Linked DNA regions of Arabidopsis thaliana. The protein of the gene in region 1 interacts with the protein of each later gene in a biochemical or structural test. Each region holds a gene or a part of one and is shown on either strand. Other genes may lie near its edges.

Region 1 (4,765 bases):
TATTTAAAAATGCATACATTTTTTTGTGTGTAACTAAAATTAGTAGAAAATAAATGCTAGTCGTTAAAAAGTGCATATAGCAGATTTCGAGTTTTTTTTAATTGCGATTTCGATTATCAATGGTCGATCGTAGACGTCTTTTTTAGTAAACAAATCTGAAATTTCTATGAAGGTTACCAAATATTTTGGATTTCAACCTAAGATGAAGTTAACCTATGGACGTGTAGAACAGTGGCTGAAGTCTGAAATGATAAGATAAAGTTCAATATGAATACATTACTGAGATGTTACAAAAAACTACATCACTGAATAATTCCTTTATTTTCCAGTTTGGACAGTAGAACCTATCGCTAATTATTTAATTACCAATTAAAAGAAAAAGAAAGAATAATTCCTACAGTTGTTAGGCTATGGTTATAAGTTTCATCTTTGAACTTAAGAAATGCTCTAATTAGTGGTAATGGTAGTTACATCTATATATGTTGATGCAATGTCAAAAAGAAAATCTCTCAAATTAGCAAATCCATACCTATTTATAGACGCATAAGTATATATACCAATTATCCTGGTCGTGCAAATGGATGGTTAGTATTTTTACAACCAAACTAATGTCTAATTTTAAAAAGTAATCATTATTTTGCTTTAGATTTTTAATAGTTAATATTATATGTATAGATAGATTACCGTATGATATAATTGTTTCAAGACACTAGATACTATCTCAATTATAAAACTCACTTTTCCATAATATGGCCGCTTGTTTATAAAAAAAGAAGAGAAATAAAACAATTGATTTGGTTTATATTATTTAATTGCAGATATCTTGTACTTAATTCATTTTGAGATAATTTTGCGTATTTGAGTTCGGACATTGGTAGGTATGGACGATGAAAATAACTGCCTTCATTCTACATGTTTGAGATTTGTTTGTCGACCATATAACACAAGCGGCTAGAAAAATAGGTGACTATTCTCAAATGTCCTGGTTCTATCTAACCTGAAGGATCCCTTGTTCTACCTGGTATAACTACAAGAAAAGGCTGTTTTATAAAATATATCATTTCTTCTATGATTTCTATCTCAACTTTTTTTTTAGTTTTTTTCTTTTAGAACGTTTTCGCTTTCGAATTTTTTAAGAATTTTTTTTTTCTTTATATCTCTAAATAATAGTTTTAAAAACATAACAAGTGATACTGTAATTTTTTTTTCTCTATAAACTTGGCGGTACCCTACTTTTTTCTTATTTTTATTAATAATCTTACTTTGTTATGATAAATTATGTTAATATATGGCAAAACTAAATATATATGAAACTACTGATTACTCATTATCATAATTAATATCTTTGTATAAAAGTAAATAATATTTAGTCGAGAGAGGTATCTTGTTAAAGGAAATAAATCAAAAATTAGTGGCTACCAAGTGGGAGATATAATTTGGAATATTTCCAGTGTATTAGTGTGGTGGGTTTGGAATACCACAAACAGAAATAAAAAGAAAGAAAAATATGAAATAAGACGACAATGTGTGATGTACGTAGAATCAGTTTTAGATTCTAGTACATCAATAGACAAGAAAAAGATTGTGGTTATGATTTCACCGACCCGAGTTAATGCAAATCCGAAACAGTATAAATATGTGTAGAGGGTTCATGCCTATGATACAAATTAAAGAAGCAGAAACAAAAACAAGTAAAACAGAAACAATCAACACAGAGAAACCACCTGTTTGTTCAAGATCAAAGATGTCTATAAATATAAGAGACCCTCTTATAGTAAGCAGAGTTGTTGGAGACGTTCTTGATCCGTTTAATAGATCAATCACTCTAAAGGTTACTTATGGCCAAAGAGAGGTGACTAATGGCTTGGATCTAAGGCCTTCTCAGGTTCAAAACAAGCCAAGAGTTGAGATTGGTGGAGAAGACCTCAGGAACTTCTATACTTTGGTTCTTTCACTTGAACTCCCTTTTGTCTCTTTTCTTCTTTAGTTTCTTCAGTGCTTCTTACACCTTCTTTTTTAAAATAGAAATTATTTTCCTTTTTTGGGGTATACTGAAAATATTTCTTGGGCATGCAGAGACCTTGGTTAAAAATGCCCCACGCTTTCCTTTTCTCTGTTTTTTTATGATTTATTTGGTTTTACTTTATGATACCCAAATCAAAAACTAATTTATATTTCATTTCTTTTTTCATGAAGATGGACCCATAAAATATTTCTTCCTATCCTAAATTAAATAGAGATAAATTTATGATCTATCCCAAATTTTTTCCACCAACTTCTTGCATAAGTGATTATTATTTAGGATAAGAATCTTGGGATTTTTCTTTGTTCCTCCTACCTAATAATTTAATTTGCATTTGTTTTTTTTTGTTTTTTTTTAAGTATAATTTTTTACTATACTTTGAAAATGGCATTTTTGAAATATCCTTTTTGCTAATTAAAATATCTGCAAAAAGATATAGAAAATTGATGTTCATTAAAACAAATATATATATTGATGAATCTCTGTTGTGGAATATTTGAAAACTGTTTGAATAAGGATATTCTGATATTCAAGCCAGCCTTTAAGATACTCTCTGCTATATATAGACATGTAGCTACTACCTTTTTTCTATTCATAGTTTTCTTCTTCTTTCTTGTGTTATCTCATTTTCCAAACTTCAAAAAAGAAAAAGAAAAAAAGACCTTTTGCTTTCTTGATTTCTTTGAAAATGATAATCTTATCTTCTTATAATTCTTCGTCTTATTTGTTTAATGAAGGTTATGGTGGATCCAGATGTTCCAAGTCCTAGCAACCCTCACCTCCGAGAATATCTCCATTGGTTTGTGCACTAACTCAACTCTTTAATTAATTCACTTTTAAGTTATAGCATAGCTCAAACATGTTGCTCGAATTATATATATAGACACTCAACTACACATGTAAAACTGGACATGTATTTTGGATACTTTGAAATTGAGTAGATCACTTATAACTTAAGACTCAAACATTTTACATTTAATAGAAGGAGACATATAAAATCAACTTCGAGAGTGCGATGCATCAATTTGTCTCCCAAAAAAGCCCACACCCAAGCTAAATTGACATATTTTGTTCAAAAACTTTACTATGTGTAATGTAAATATGTATTATGTATGTCTGTGTATTTTACTGATCGCACATAGATTCTATAGAATGTATAGGACGTGACTTGAACTAAGATTTGTTTTTTTCACTTTAAAGTGGTCTTTGTACGGGAATATCATTGAGCTTAAAATAGCCTGATGACATCATCATTGTTCCTTGAAGTGAGCAGGACTAGGTTTCCTGTTATATCACTTTTTATTTTTATTTATATATTCATGCACTTGAATGTTATTGCATGTTTTGCTAGTCACTTGCACTAGTAATCTAGGAATTAGTTACGTTGCTATTATTTTTTTGTAAGAAAATAAAGTTTAAGTAGCATTTCAATTCTGTCAAAAAAAGAAGTAGCATTTCAATTATGTTGTGGTGCCATAGCTTAAACATGTGTATGGCTATCTCTCATTACAGGTTGGTGACTGATATCCCTGCTACAACTGGAACAACCTTTGGTGAGTTTTATTCTATATATTAGATCGCTAGGTGTTAGAAATATAGAAAGGTATATGAAATAGCCTAATTAATTAGTTACTAGCTAGAAAATTCACATGTTTTGATGAACTTTTTATTTTTCAGGCAATGAGATTGTGTGTTACGAAAATCCAAGTCCCACTGCAGGAATTCATCGTGTCGTGTTTATATTGTTTCGACAGCTTGGCAGGCAAACAGTGTATGCACCAGGGTGGCGCCAGAACTTCAACACTCGCGAGTTTGCTGAGATCTACAATCTCGGCCTTCCCGTGGCCGCAGTTTTCTACAATTGTCAGAGGGAGAGTGGCTGCGGAGGAAGAAGACTTTAGATGGCTTCTTCCTTTATAACCAATTGATATTGCATACTCTGATGAGATTTATGCATCTATAGTATTTTAATTTAATAACCATTTTATGATACGAGTAACGAACGGTGATGATGCCTATAGTAGTTCAATATATAAGTGTGTAATAAAAATGAGAGGGGGAGGAAAATGAGAGTGTTTTACTTATATAGTGTGTGATGCGATAATTATATTAATCTACATGAAATGAAGTGTTATATTTATACTTTACGTGTATTCATTTCTTTTCGATGCAAAAATCAGGCAGTGGGAAGAATCTGCTGTTTTACTTTTGGGTTCCATAATACACTTTTTTGTGTTGCTACTAAAGTACTGATAATATCCAAGTCGATCATTATATATCAAACTAAAGAGTTTGCATTCAATACATAAGCTAGAAAAGTAGAGCAATATTTTGGTTTTAAGTTTATGGGCTCACGTATGAAGAAACACATGTGTAAGATCGAATCCTAGGATCAAACCTTAATTATTAAATCCTTGAAAGGTAAACATATGAAGTATTTATACATTCTGAAGATTAATTACTAATGGACTTCGACGTTAGATCTTGTTCCCATGATAGAAAAACGTTTTTTTTTTAATTTGGGATAAATACGAGGAACAACTTAAGCATTTATGTTTTATTTAAAAGCGGTTTAGGCGGTTGTATTGGCTCCGTCTAGACGTTATGCTGTCAAGTTATGGTTAGATCACTGATTCAACGCCTAAAATAGTATAAGTTTCGATTTAATGTATTTTCTATTTTAAAATTAAATTTGAGTTTAAAACTAAAAATAAAACACTTTAGACATCCAAAAAAAGGAAG
Region 2 (5,914 bases), on another chromosome or scaffold:
TAGACTTAGAGAGACGGATTCGATTTGATCTCTGTTTCCACATGGACCGTAATAATAGTCAATACATATCATATAGTCAAGATGTCGGCGTTGAATATGTTTGGGTAATGCAATTACGCGTTGTATATAATTAGGCTATAACCGGTGCAAGTTATATCTCCTTGAAGCATTTGGAAATGTATACTGAGGCAATGTCTTCACCATCTAATACAACTTCTCAAAAGTTCATCCAAATTTAAGTAACCCAATTGATCTATCCAACAAACATAAGATTTGAGAGAAAGTTTAGATTTTGGTTCATATTTATAAGAAAATATCGAACAAAGTTTATGGTCATCTTCAAATCGATCCGACCGTTGGAAGAGATTTATCACAAACGGCTCTATTGAGATAAGTGATTTCTGTTTTTCTATGAACAAATAAATAAAATAAGTTACCGAAGAAGAGCCAAAGTGTGGGCTTAATTCATCTTTCAGATCTCAATGAACGTGAATGAGGCCCAATTAGTTTATAATGGGCACTATGAAAGCCACTAGACAAGTCTTATGTTCACAAATGATGATCAACTGTATCTGATCCACAATGTAAAATGTCTAATGTTCACGCCAAGTCTAAATGCTTTGGTTTCGTTAGACATTAATAAATCGTAATTGTGAACCAAACTAAACCGAGAAAAATGGATATTATGTGACAAGTCTATCAAGATGATGCATAAAAGAACATAATAATATAGTCATCATTACTAAGCATCACTGAGGCAGCAAAAGCGGACCACTAAAGTTGGATCCTTTACAACTTGATAAGTTGGTTCATAAAAATTCAAATTAGCCTTCATAAAAGTTTTAAAAAGAAAAAGCATTCCAGTTTATTCATAGTTTACATATAACATAGATGTAAAAAATGTTAGAACCATCTTATAACTTTTTTGATAAAGAAACAATACAAGAACTTATTCCACACCTTTTTATTCTTTCTTTTGGGAGGTTTTGAATTTCAGGCAACTTAAATTCATCTACGTTGGTAAAAACAATTCTTTATCCTCAGAAATGTTTATTGGAAATTGTGTAGAACTCATCTATAACTTGTCTAAAATATTAAACACATGATTTTGAAGAAGATTGACTACATCCTCATGAGAGCTCATTTGCTATGGTTGAAACCTGGACACATTTTAACAAATGCAAGTGGAGTGAAGAACCGGTTCTTGTTTGATACTATACAAAGGGAAATGTCGATCTAACTGAAGTTAGTTTCATCTCTGCTGTTAGGGTCGATTTAGTCTCGGTTCACTGATTCTTTTTACCAAATAGTTTAATAAGCTCCAGTGCGGGCATTAGAAATAAAAATGGCGAGATAATAAGGTAATGATGTTACTCAATCAAATAATAATAATCACTCCTTAGCCTAGCCTGCCCTTTTGCTTTTTATGAAAAAGTTTCAAACTCCAAAAAGCTATTTTTTAGATGCTTATTCCAATGAGGCAGAAAGAAAGAAACACTAAAGATATATATACTCACAGGGGAAAGTTGGTGTTGGAAATGTTTCTAATTATCACTTTGGCACTAAGTATATTATCTGTGAGTTCTTGTAAATTTATGTTTACATGTTTTATTTTATATATTGATGCGAAACTATTTTTGTGAAAAGTTTTGATTAAAGCATGAGAAAGTTTCACTTGATGTTGGGTTTGAGTGTTTTATCCGGGTTTATTCATCCTTGAAATCAGTCATGCAATTTGGCAAATATGTGGTGTAATTTTTTACAAGTGTGAGAGAATCTACTATTTCTACCTTTGTCACTGCTGAAAAATTTCTTAATGTACCTAAAAGTCTTAAGACAAACGAAGAATCTGCTTTCCTATTTAATAAAACGAAGATAACAAAAAAAAAGAATCAGCTTCCCTCTTAAAGAAGGAGAAAAACAGAGAGAATAAGAAGTAATTTTTTAGGGTTCTTCCTTTTTCATTTTGATTCTTCTTTTTCTTTGAGATAGAATTGTTTCTCTTTCGTTCTCTCTCTGTGTATCAAACAAAAATTTGATTATGGAATAACTCTTAACTTCTTGGTTTCTTAAATTCTTCTTTCTTTCTTTTTTTCATTTCTATGGTACAGCAGCAAACAGAGAATTTTATGGCAGCTTCTTCAACATCTTTCTCAAGGTACTGCTTACTAAGTTAAACGCATCCTTCTTTACATATATACATGTTCTTGAAATATTGTTGGTCCATATAAAAATAGCTCTCTTTTTTTGTAAGTTCGAATACTATAGATTTATCTCTTTCATTGATTTTGTTTGCTATCTTCTTTTTCTCTTCATTTACTCTCTATTTATCGTTTTCATATTAATCCTTCTCTTACTTTTCATTTGCAAAAGATAATTCAAGACATTCTGTGTTTTCCTGCAAACACTTGAATGAGTTCATGGAACAGAACCAAGAGACAAAGCTTATATTTGCGTCGACCACTTAGTATATATTGTTTAAATCAGGTAAGAATCCTTTCAATTATCTTGGTTGAGATTGAAAGTAAATTACTAAATACTAATTATAAAGGTTTTAAATCAGTTCTGATGAGATACATTAGTTTCTTTACATCCAAGAAACAGGTTTTGTCTAATCATTTTTTCCTGCAATTCTCAGATTCTGTTTTTTTGTATGTCAGGAACAGAATTGAAACGTTTTGAAAGAAACAGGAGAATCTTTTGGTTCAAGTAATCTAAAACCATGGCAGCCAAAGATGGAGCTAAGAGCCAAGAAGACTATAAGCTTAAAGACATGAAACCAGAGCTTGGAGAGAGATGGCCACATGGAGGACAGCGTGGAGGAACCGGATGGATTGGCAGTGAACGAGCTGCAAGCACATATGACCTTGTTGAGCAAATGTTTTATCTCTATGTTCGGGTCGTCAAAGCCAAGGATCTTCCTCCAAACCCTGTCACCAGCAACTGTGATCCTTATGTGGAAGTGAAAATAGGAAACTACAAAGGAAAGACTAAACACTTCGAGAAAAGAACCAACCCGGAGTGGAATCAAGTTTTCGCATTTTCAAAAGACAAGGTCCAATCCTCTACTGTTGAAGTCTTTGTGCGCGATAAGGAGATGGTTACAAGAGATGAATACATCGGGAAGGTTGTGTTTGATATGCGTGAGGTTCCTACAAGAGTTCCTCCTGATAGTCCACTTGCACCTCAGTGGTACAGATTAGAAGATCGGCGAGGTGAGAGTAAGAAAAGAGGAGAGGTTATGGTAGCGGTTTGGCTTGGGACGCAAGCCGATGAAGCATTTCCTGATGCTTGGCATTCGGATGCTTCCTCTGTTCAAGGAGAAGGTGTCCAAAGCGTGAGGTCTAAAGTCTATGTATCTCCCAAATTGTGGTATCTGCGGGTTAATGTCATCGAGGCGCAAGATGTTGAGCCTAGTGACAGGAGCCAACCACCTCAAGCTTTCGTTAAAGTACAAGTTGGGAATCAGATTCTGAAAACAAAGTTATGTCCTAACAAGACGACGAATCCGATGTGGAACGAAGATCTTGTTTTTGTAGCTGCAGAGCCATTTGAAGAACAGTTCTTCTTGACGGTCGAAAACAAGGTGACACCAGCTAAAGATGAAGTCATGGGGAGGCTGATCTCACCTTTGAGCGTATTTGAGAAAAGGTTAGATCACAGAGCTGTTCATTCCAAATGGTACAACCTCGAAAAGTTTGGGTTTGGGGCTCTGGAAGGAGACAAGAGACACGAGCTCAAGTTCTCCAGCCGAATCCACCTACGAGTTTGCCTTGAAGGAGGTTACCATGTAATGGACGAGTCAACTCTGTACATCAGTGACGTGAAACCTACGGCAAGGCAACTATGGAAGTCTCCTATTGGCATCCTTGAAGTAGGAATCTTGAGTGCTCAAGGGCTATCGCCTATGAAAACAAAAGACGGTAAAGCGACAACAGATCCGTATTGTGTTGCCAAGTACGGTCAAAAATGGGTGAGAACAAGAACCATCATTGACAGCTCTAGCCCTAAATGGAATGAGCAATACACATGGGAAGTGTATGATCCTTGTACAGTTATCACACTGGGAGTTTTCGATAACTGTCACCTTGGCGGAAGTGAGAAATCGAACAGTGGAGCCAAAGTGGATTCGAGAATCGGGAAGGTAAGGATCCGGTTGTCGACTCTAGAGGCTGATAGAATCTACACTCACTCCTACCCTCTTCTTGTTCTGCAAACAAAAGGGTTAAAGAAAATGGGAGAAGTCCAATTAGCTGTGAGATTCACTTGTCTATCCTTGGCTCACATGATCTATCTTTATGGCCATCCTCTGCTTCCAAAGATGCATTATCTCCATCCATTCACTGTGAACCAATTAGACAGTCTAAGATACCAAGCAATGAGCATTGTCGCAGCACGGTTATCTCGAGCAGAGCCTCCTTTAAGGAAAGAGAACGTAGAGTACATGCTTGATGTTGATTCACACATGTGGAGCATGAGAAGGAGCAAAGCTAACTTCTTCAGGATAGTGTCTGTGTTTGCAGGCTTGATTGCTATGAGTAAATGGCTCGGAGACGTCTGCTACTGGAAGAATCCGTTGACGACGATATTATTCCACGTTCTCTTCTTTATATTGATTTGTTATCCGGAGCTGATACTCCCAACCACATTCCTCTACATGTTCTTGATAGGGCTTTGGAATTTCCGGTTCAGGCCGCGTCATCCTGCTCATATGGACACAAAGGTATCTTGGGCTGAAGCGGCTAGCCCTGATGAGCTAGATGAGGAATTTGATACTTTCCCAACTTCAAAGGGACAAGATGTTGTGAAGATGAGGTATGATAGGTTAAGAAGCGTTGCGGGTCGGATCCAGATGGTTGTTGGAGACATTGCAACGCAAGGAGAGAGGTTTCAGGCTTTGTTGAGTTGGAGAGATCCGCGTGCGACTTGCTTGTTTGTGATTTTTTGTCTTGTTGCTGCGATGATTTTGTACGTGACGCCTTTCAAGATCATAGCTCTTGCGGGTGGGATGTTCTGGATGAGGCATCCTAAGTTCAGAAGCAAGATGCCTTCTGCTCCAAGTAACTTCTTCAGGAAATTACCTTCAAAAGCAGATTGTATGCTTTGAATTGTAAAACTTCTTTGTGGCTTTTAGGTCTTCTCTGCTCGTAACTTGTGTTTCTTGTGTTCGTGTGTTTATCTGCTCTGTTTTATTATTTTGTTCTGTTTGCTTCTATTCTTATCATGTACTGTGTTGTTGGGTTTACTCTAAAACCCAAAAGTAGTGGGCTTTAGTTATAATGTTTTGTTTGTACGTTTTTTCCTTCTCTTAAAAAGAAATAAAATTCAATAGAAAACTTTAGGGCCCAAAAATTTACGGCCCAAACGAATTTGTAGTCCAAGAATAAACACATGTATAATCTGATTGCTAGTGTATGTACTTAGAAACTATTTTTTTTCAAATATTTGCGGCTAAATCAATCTCGTTTTTTGTGATGTAAAAAGATTTTTGTTGTTTTGATTTGACCATGCATGTGTACTACTGTAATGTTCACTTTTATCAGTCAAGAAATAAAAATAGAAGAGTTGAAAAAAATTAACTGGTGACAGCAAAGAAATGAAAAGTAAAGGAGAGAGAGAAGGGCGTTGAACCCAAAGCAAAACGGTACTGATCCCAAGTCCCTGACGGTATCCTACAGAACTCACCATTTGTCACCTTCCTCACTGGTCAATGCTTTAATTTGACCTAACAAGTGATAAGTCTTGCATGCAACTGCAATTGTTGCCAGCCTTCTATTTTTGTTTCCTTTCAATACTCTCTCATGTTCTTGTGTTTGGAATTGAAGATCAAGTATAATTTTTCACTTGAATTTGCATAAGGAAGAATTCATTAAAAGGTATGGAATACTTGTCTATATATATAATCTGCATCTTG
Region 3 (4,673 bases), on another chromosome or scaffold:
ACATGATATACCAAACTGAGTAAACCAAACTCTCCAAATTAAGTAACTCAAACTTATCACAATAGAGAAGTAACTTACTACTCCCAAGACATTTCGATTTATTAGAGCAGAACTTATCATTGGTTAAGGGAAAAAGCAAATAGCTTCACATCAGTTATAAAAAATATATTTGAAAATGATAAAGTTTCCACGTAATATATTACACAAATTACGCATATATGAACTTGTCTGTATACAATGTACGTTAACCCACTTATACATAGATCACAAGCCTAGTGATACCCGATACGTTTGTCGATCGCATTTAACTTAATAGGCTTGAAAGGTTTTGAATTGCCTGATTACTAGAACTGACGTCCAGGTCTCAGAAGGAATATAGATTGAGAATGTATTGAATCATGAATCTTAACTTATATAATTTTGTCATCAGTTTGTCACGTTTCCTTTTGTTTTTGTCATTTGTTGTATTCCTAAAAGCAAACGATAGACAAACTTAACAACACAGAGATAATATTAACAAACAACGTTTAAAGGATACATATCAGTTAAAAATCCACTCGAACTATGAAAACAAAATATTATACAAATTGCATTAATTTCTTCACATAGGTTTAATATTTGACACTAAAATGACGAAAAAGCCTTCATATAAACATGATTAATTACGATGTTAAGAAAAAAAAACATAAGATGGATTAACATATCTCTCTCACCAAACTATATATCATTAATTTGAGATATTAATGTTAAATGAAATCAGTTTCAATACATGTTTTGATAGTTGTGCATGAGGTCTCTTGGTTTCGCGCCGAAGGAGTAATGAAGATCCGTAAACTGATGCTGCTGCAAGGTACATAGCCCCAAAAAAAAAAAAATCGATGAAAATTTGAACAATAAAAACCATAATAGTATAACCAAGTCAGTTAAAAAAAACCGGCGCCTTTGAATCGCTGATGTGGAACTAGATAGTAATAACCAAGTACCAATCCACAAAACACAAAAACTAACTTCTAATTAAACTATATATAGCATTAATTAATCGATGGTGGTGCATTAGTGTCATTGAATTTGATATACCCTACCTCTAAAACTTGAATTAACTGTGTATAGCTTTAGATAAAACCATTGGAAAAAAACTCATAAAAATTATAAATGTGACTCGTAGATATAAATAAGGTACCTCAATGGAATTAGCTGCTCCTTGGCTGCGATGGTGGTTAATCACTGGGAATGATGAGTTCGGTTTGTAGTTGACTAAGTCATAAGATTCATTTGAAATGTGATCTTTCTTATTCATGATAAATTCGTTGCAAACTGCAAAACGATCGTTCTTGCAAAGTTCTTCGATCTTGTCTTCGCAGTGTGTCATCTCAAAAGAACTCCGATTCACTTGGCTTCTATTATTATTCTTTATTATCTCACCATGATCATGAGCGTCTTCTTCCACAACTTTCACTAATTGTGATCTTCCTTTCATCTTCATCATCATTTTCTCCATTGTTCTACCCTTTGCTCTTTCTCTAGCTTTCGCTCTCTCCTCCTTGGACAACTTCTTTAAAATGGGCGTTCGCGGTTCTGGCCTCTTTCTCTTCCCTCTCATCGATCTCCCATCGACCTTGTTTCCTCTTGTTTCTAATGTATAAGATAATTTATCTTTTGTAACATTTTGATAGAAAGTACTCTATATATAATTGTAAATCAGAAAGGCAACGGTTAAGGTCGTACCGGTCGTGTTAGTATTGCTGCCTCTATCGTCGACCGTCCACATGGATGCAAGTTCACATAGATCAGAAGATGTGTCCATGGATCCTAACACCGGTCCTTAATTAATTAGGAAATTTACAATTTTCAGATTATGATATAAAAAAATTCATAGAAGTTGAAAACTTGAATAGACTTAAAACTAGAAAAGAATGGATACTTACGGATATGAGACTCATCGCCGCTGCTGAAGCAGCCATGGTGAGAAAGGGTTGTCGCGATCTTTATGATCTCAGGTTTTGCTTGTGTAAGCAACCATTCAACGGTTTTGCTGGCTTTGTCAAATCCAAGCATGTCTTGTAAGCCAAACAACTCTTTGGCGACATCTAGCGAGAGTCTCATCCTACGATCTCGTGTCCCTTTGGCCGTTTTGATCTTGCTGTGCCTGTCCGTTCTGCTGGGTTTCTTGGCTTTTTTCATTTTTGGGTCTTGAGAAGTTGAGATTCTCTGGGAATCTTCTATAAGGTTTATAGTTTCCGAGGGCTCAGTGGGTTGTTCTACAATGGTGTTGTTCAAGGGAAAGTGAAGTGATGGATGATGATTGTCGTTTGGGATGGTTTGGTTATCATCATGGCCATTGTTTTCTGGGTGGAAAGAGGTGAGGAGGGCGCAGTCCGGGGCAAATTCGAAGTGAGAAAAAGGAGAAGGTTGTTGGAATTGATGATGATGGTCAAGATGATTGTTTGATGTGTTAGAGGTGGAGTGAATCAAGATGTCGTTAATGGAAGAAGAAGGGCTAAAAGGGAGCAATGGTTGTGAGGAATAATGGTCATTATAAGGGAATAACATGTAGTCGTCATTGATGGTGGTAGTAGTACTGAAAATGTTGTTGTTCATGCCTTTTTAGGGGTTTTTGAAGTAACAAAATTAAAAAACCCTAAGACAAAATTTTGAGAATGACACTTGTACTATAATCTTCTTCAGACACACAAGAAAAAAGAGAAGAAAATGAAAGAAAGTTTGAATCAAAGAGAAAGGTTACTGTTCCAATGACGAAGACATTGATCTCAAGTCTCAACCAAAATGAAAACAAGAAAATTAGAAAGAGAGATTTCTTTTTTTCCTTAGCCTGCAAAATCAAGAAAAAAAAAGAGCAGTAATAGTGATTAGTCAGATAGTACAATATGTCTTTGTTCTAGAGAATCTATGTGTGTGTCTAAATGTGTAGAGAGAGAATACCTTTATCGAAGCAAAGGACTAATGGTTGAGAAAGACAACACAGGCGACGTACTTAAATGAGTCTATGTGCTATGAACTAGAATGGAGAGAAAGAGAGAGAAAAAGAGAGAGAGAGGGAGAGCTATATGGAGAGAGAGGCAAAGAGATCATTATGGGGGAAGGAACAACATATAAGCCTTTGAAAAAGCATTTATTTTGTTTATATATTTTTCTTAATTCCTAGCTTCGGCATGATAAAAATATATTCGTTTTTGTTTTTTGTGAAAATGTGATAATAGATGTTCGTTTTATTTGATTATCAAGATTTTTTTCTATAATTAGGACCTTGTGTTTGTTTATGTTCTTATATTTCTTTGAGATAGTTCATTACTAATATGTAGATAAGAACTCAGTATAATTATTTGATAGATATTAAATTGTTGACAGCTATATTTCAACTAATCAAAGATTGTATATATCTTTAAAATTAATAGCATGCACTAAAAGATGCCTAAAAATAGTTAATTCAATATAAAATATTTCACTGTATTTACTATAGAATATATGTTATAACTTTAGGATTTAGCTAGAATAATTAATATTACAGTTTCTTGACAGAACATATATTTACCAATTACATTAACATTTCACTTTAAATAAACAGATCTTTATTTAAATTATTGAAATGACATTTAAAATTTAGTTAGATAGATTTTTCCACATTGATTATATTTTTTAATATTTTTAGTAGATAAAGATCAAGGTATAACTAAATGAAAGAAATAAAAGGTAATGAGATTTAATTTCACCCAAAAATAGACATATAAATGTATGTTTGCATATTAAGAAGATCAAAATAAAAAGTTGAATAGAAATAAATATGAGATAAAATTAAGGATAAATTTTATTATTAGTTATGCCTTTATTTGGAAAAGGATTAATAGAAGAAAAGTTAGAAGATTTTAGATTATGTCTAAAGGAAATAGGAACAAGGAATATATAATTAAAATATATATAAAATATTGATTTGCATTTCACCGTAAGAAAGAACTAAGGTCAAATAAAATTATAAAGTTTTGTTTGGTGGTATTTTTCAAAACACTATAAACAACTTTTTCATATTTTTAAAGAGTATTTTGGTGTAATTCTTATGACTTCATATGTACACTAACTATTGATATATTGCATTTGTTCAGATAACAATTTTTGTATCTCTATCTAATAATTTTTATACATAGGACACAAATATTGTTATTCCAAAACTTCTATCCATTCTTAAGTCCAAATCTTTTATTTGTTGTTTCATAAATAAAAAACTTATACTAGATCAAAAAAAATATTTGACAAAAAAATCTTATATTAGATAATCTATCGAACTGAATGGGTTGTAAAAACTGAATCATCAATCATGGCGATCCCTCAAGAAAACCATACAGATCAGTAATATTTTTTAATTCCATTTTCTTGTGCCAACTTTTAGGTTTAAATACATTTATTTATTGTTGTAAAATATTATTAATTGTATTTTAAAGTATAAAATATGAATTCTTATATTATAATATATATATATATATATATATTATTGAGAATATCAAATAAATTTAAACACTGTTATAACAATTTATATCCATCATGGATGTTTCTCAAAATTAAGTATAGACATAGATGATTGTTCTAAATTGATTGTTATGCAACATCCTCTTCTGTAAATTATTAGTAAAAAAGGGTAGCTCCTTTTTCTTACGTAGACTTAT

Evidence for each region.
Region 2: the proteins of FT (region 1) and FTIP1 form a complex in vitro, tested with the Arabidopsis thaliana proteins (one study listed by BioGRID).
Region 3: the proteins of FT (region 1) and BRC1 form a complex in vitro, tested with the Arabidopsis thaliana proteins (one study listed by BioGRID).

The regions. Positions count from the first base shown.
Region 1 is NC_003070.9:24,329,766-24,334,530, forward strand, and holds FT (PEBP (phosphatidylethanolamine-binding protein) family protein), read left to right. Parts: upstream 1-1,607; 5' UTR 1,608-1,612; coding exon 1,613-1,945; intron 1,946-2,760; coding exon 2,761-2,822; intron 2,823-3,535; coding exon 3,536-3,576; intron 3,577-3,700; coding exon 3,701-3,924; 3' UTR 3,925-4,234; downstream 4,235-4,765. UniProt on the Arabidopsis thaliana protein: Component of the mobile flower-promoting signal (floral stimulus or florigen). Promotes the transition from vegetative growth to flowering. Required for 'SEPALLATA3' (SEP3) and 'FRUITFULL' (FUL) accumulation in mature rosette leaves.
Region 2 is NC_003076.8:2,126,393-2,132,306, reverse strand, and holds FTIP1 (C2 calcium/lipid-binding plant phosphoribosyltransferase family protein), read left to right. Parts: upstream 1-1,797; 5' UTR 1,798-2,158; intron 2,159-2,373; 5' UTR 2,374-2,487; intron 2,488-2,660; 5' UTR 2,661-2,722; coding exon 2,723-5,107; 3' UTR 5,108-5,363; downstream 5,364-5,914. UniProt on the Arabidopsis thaliana protein: Involved in the export of FT from the phloem companion cells to the sieve elements through the plasmodesmata. Regulates flowering time under long days. May function as a signaling molecule by regulating the trafficking of other regulators.
Region 3 is NC_003074.8:6,381,694-6,386,366, reverse strand, and holds BRC1 (TCP family transcription factor), read right to left. Parts: upstream 3,079-4,673; 5' UTR 2,941-3,078; intron 2,860-2,940; exon of another isoform or gene 2,831-2,859; 5' UTR 2,599-2,830; coding exon 1,926-2,598; intron 1,822-1,925; coding exon 1,726-1,821; intron 1,633-1,725; coding exon 1,097-1,632; 3' UTR 844-1,096; coding exon of another isoform or gene 763-843; 3' UTR 552-762; downstream 1-551. UniProt on the Arabidopsis thaliana protein: Transcription factor that prevents axillary bud outgrowth and delays early axillary bud development. Indirectly required for the auxin-induced control of apical dominance.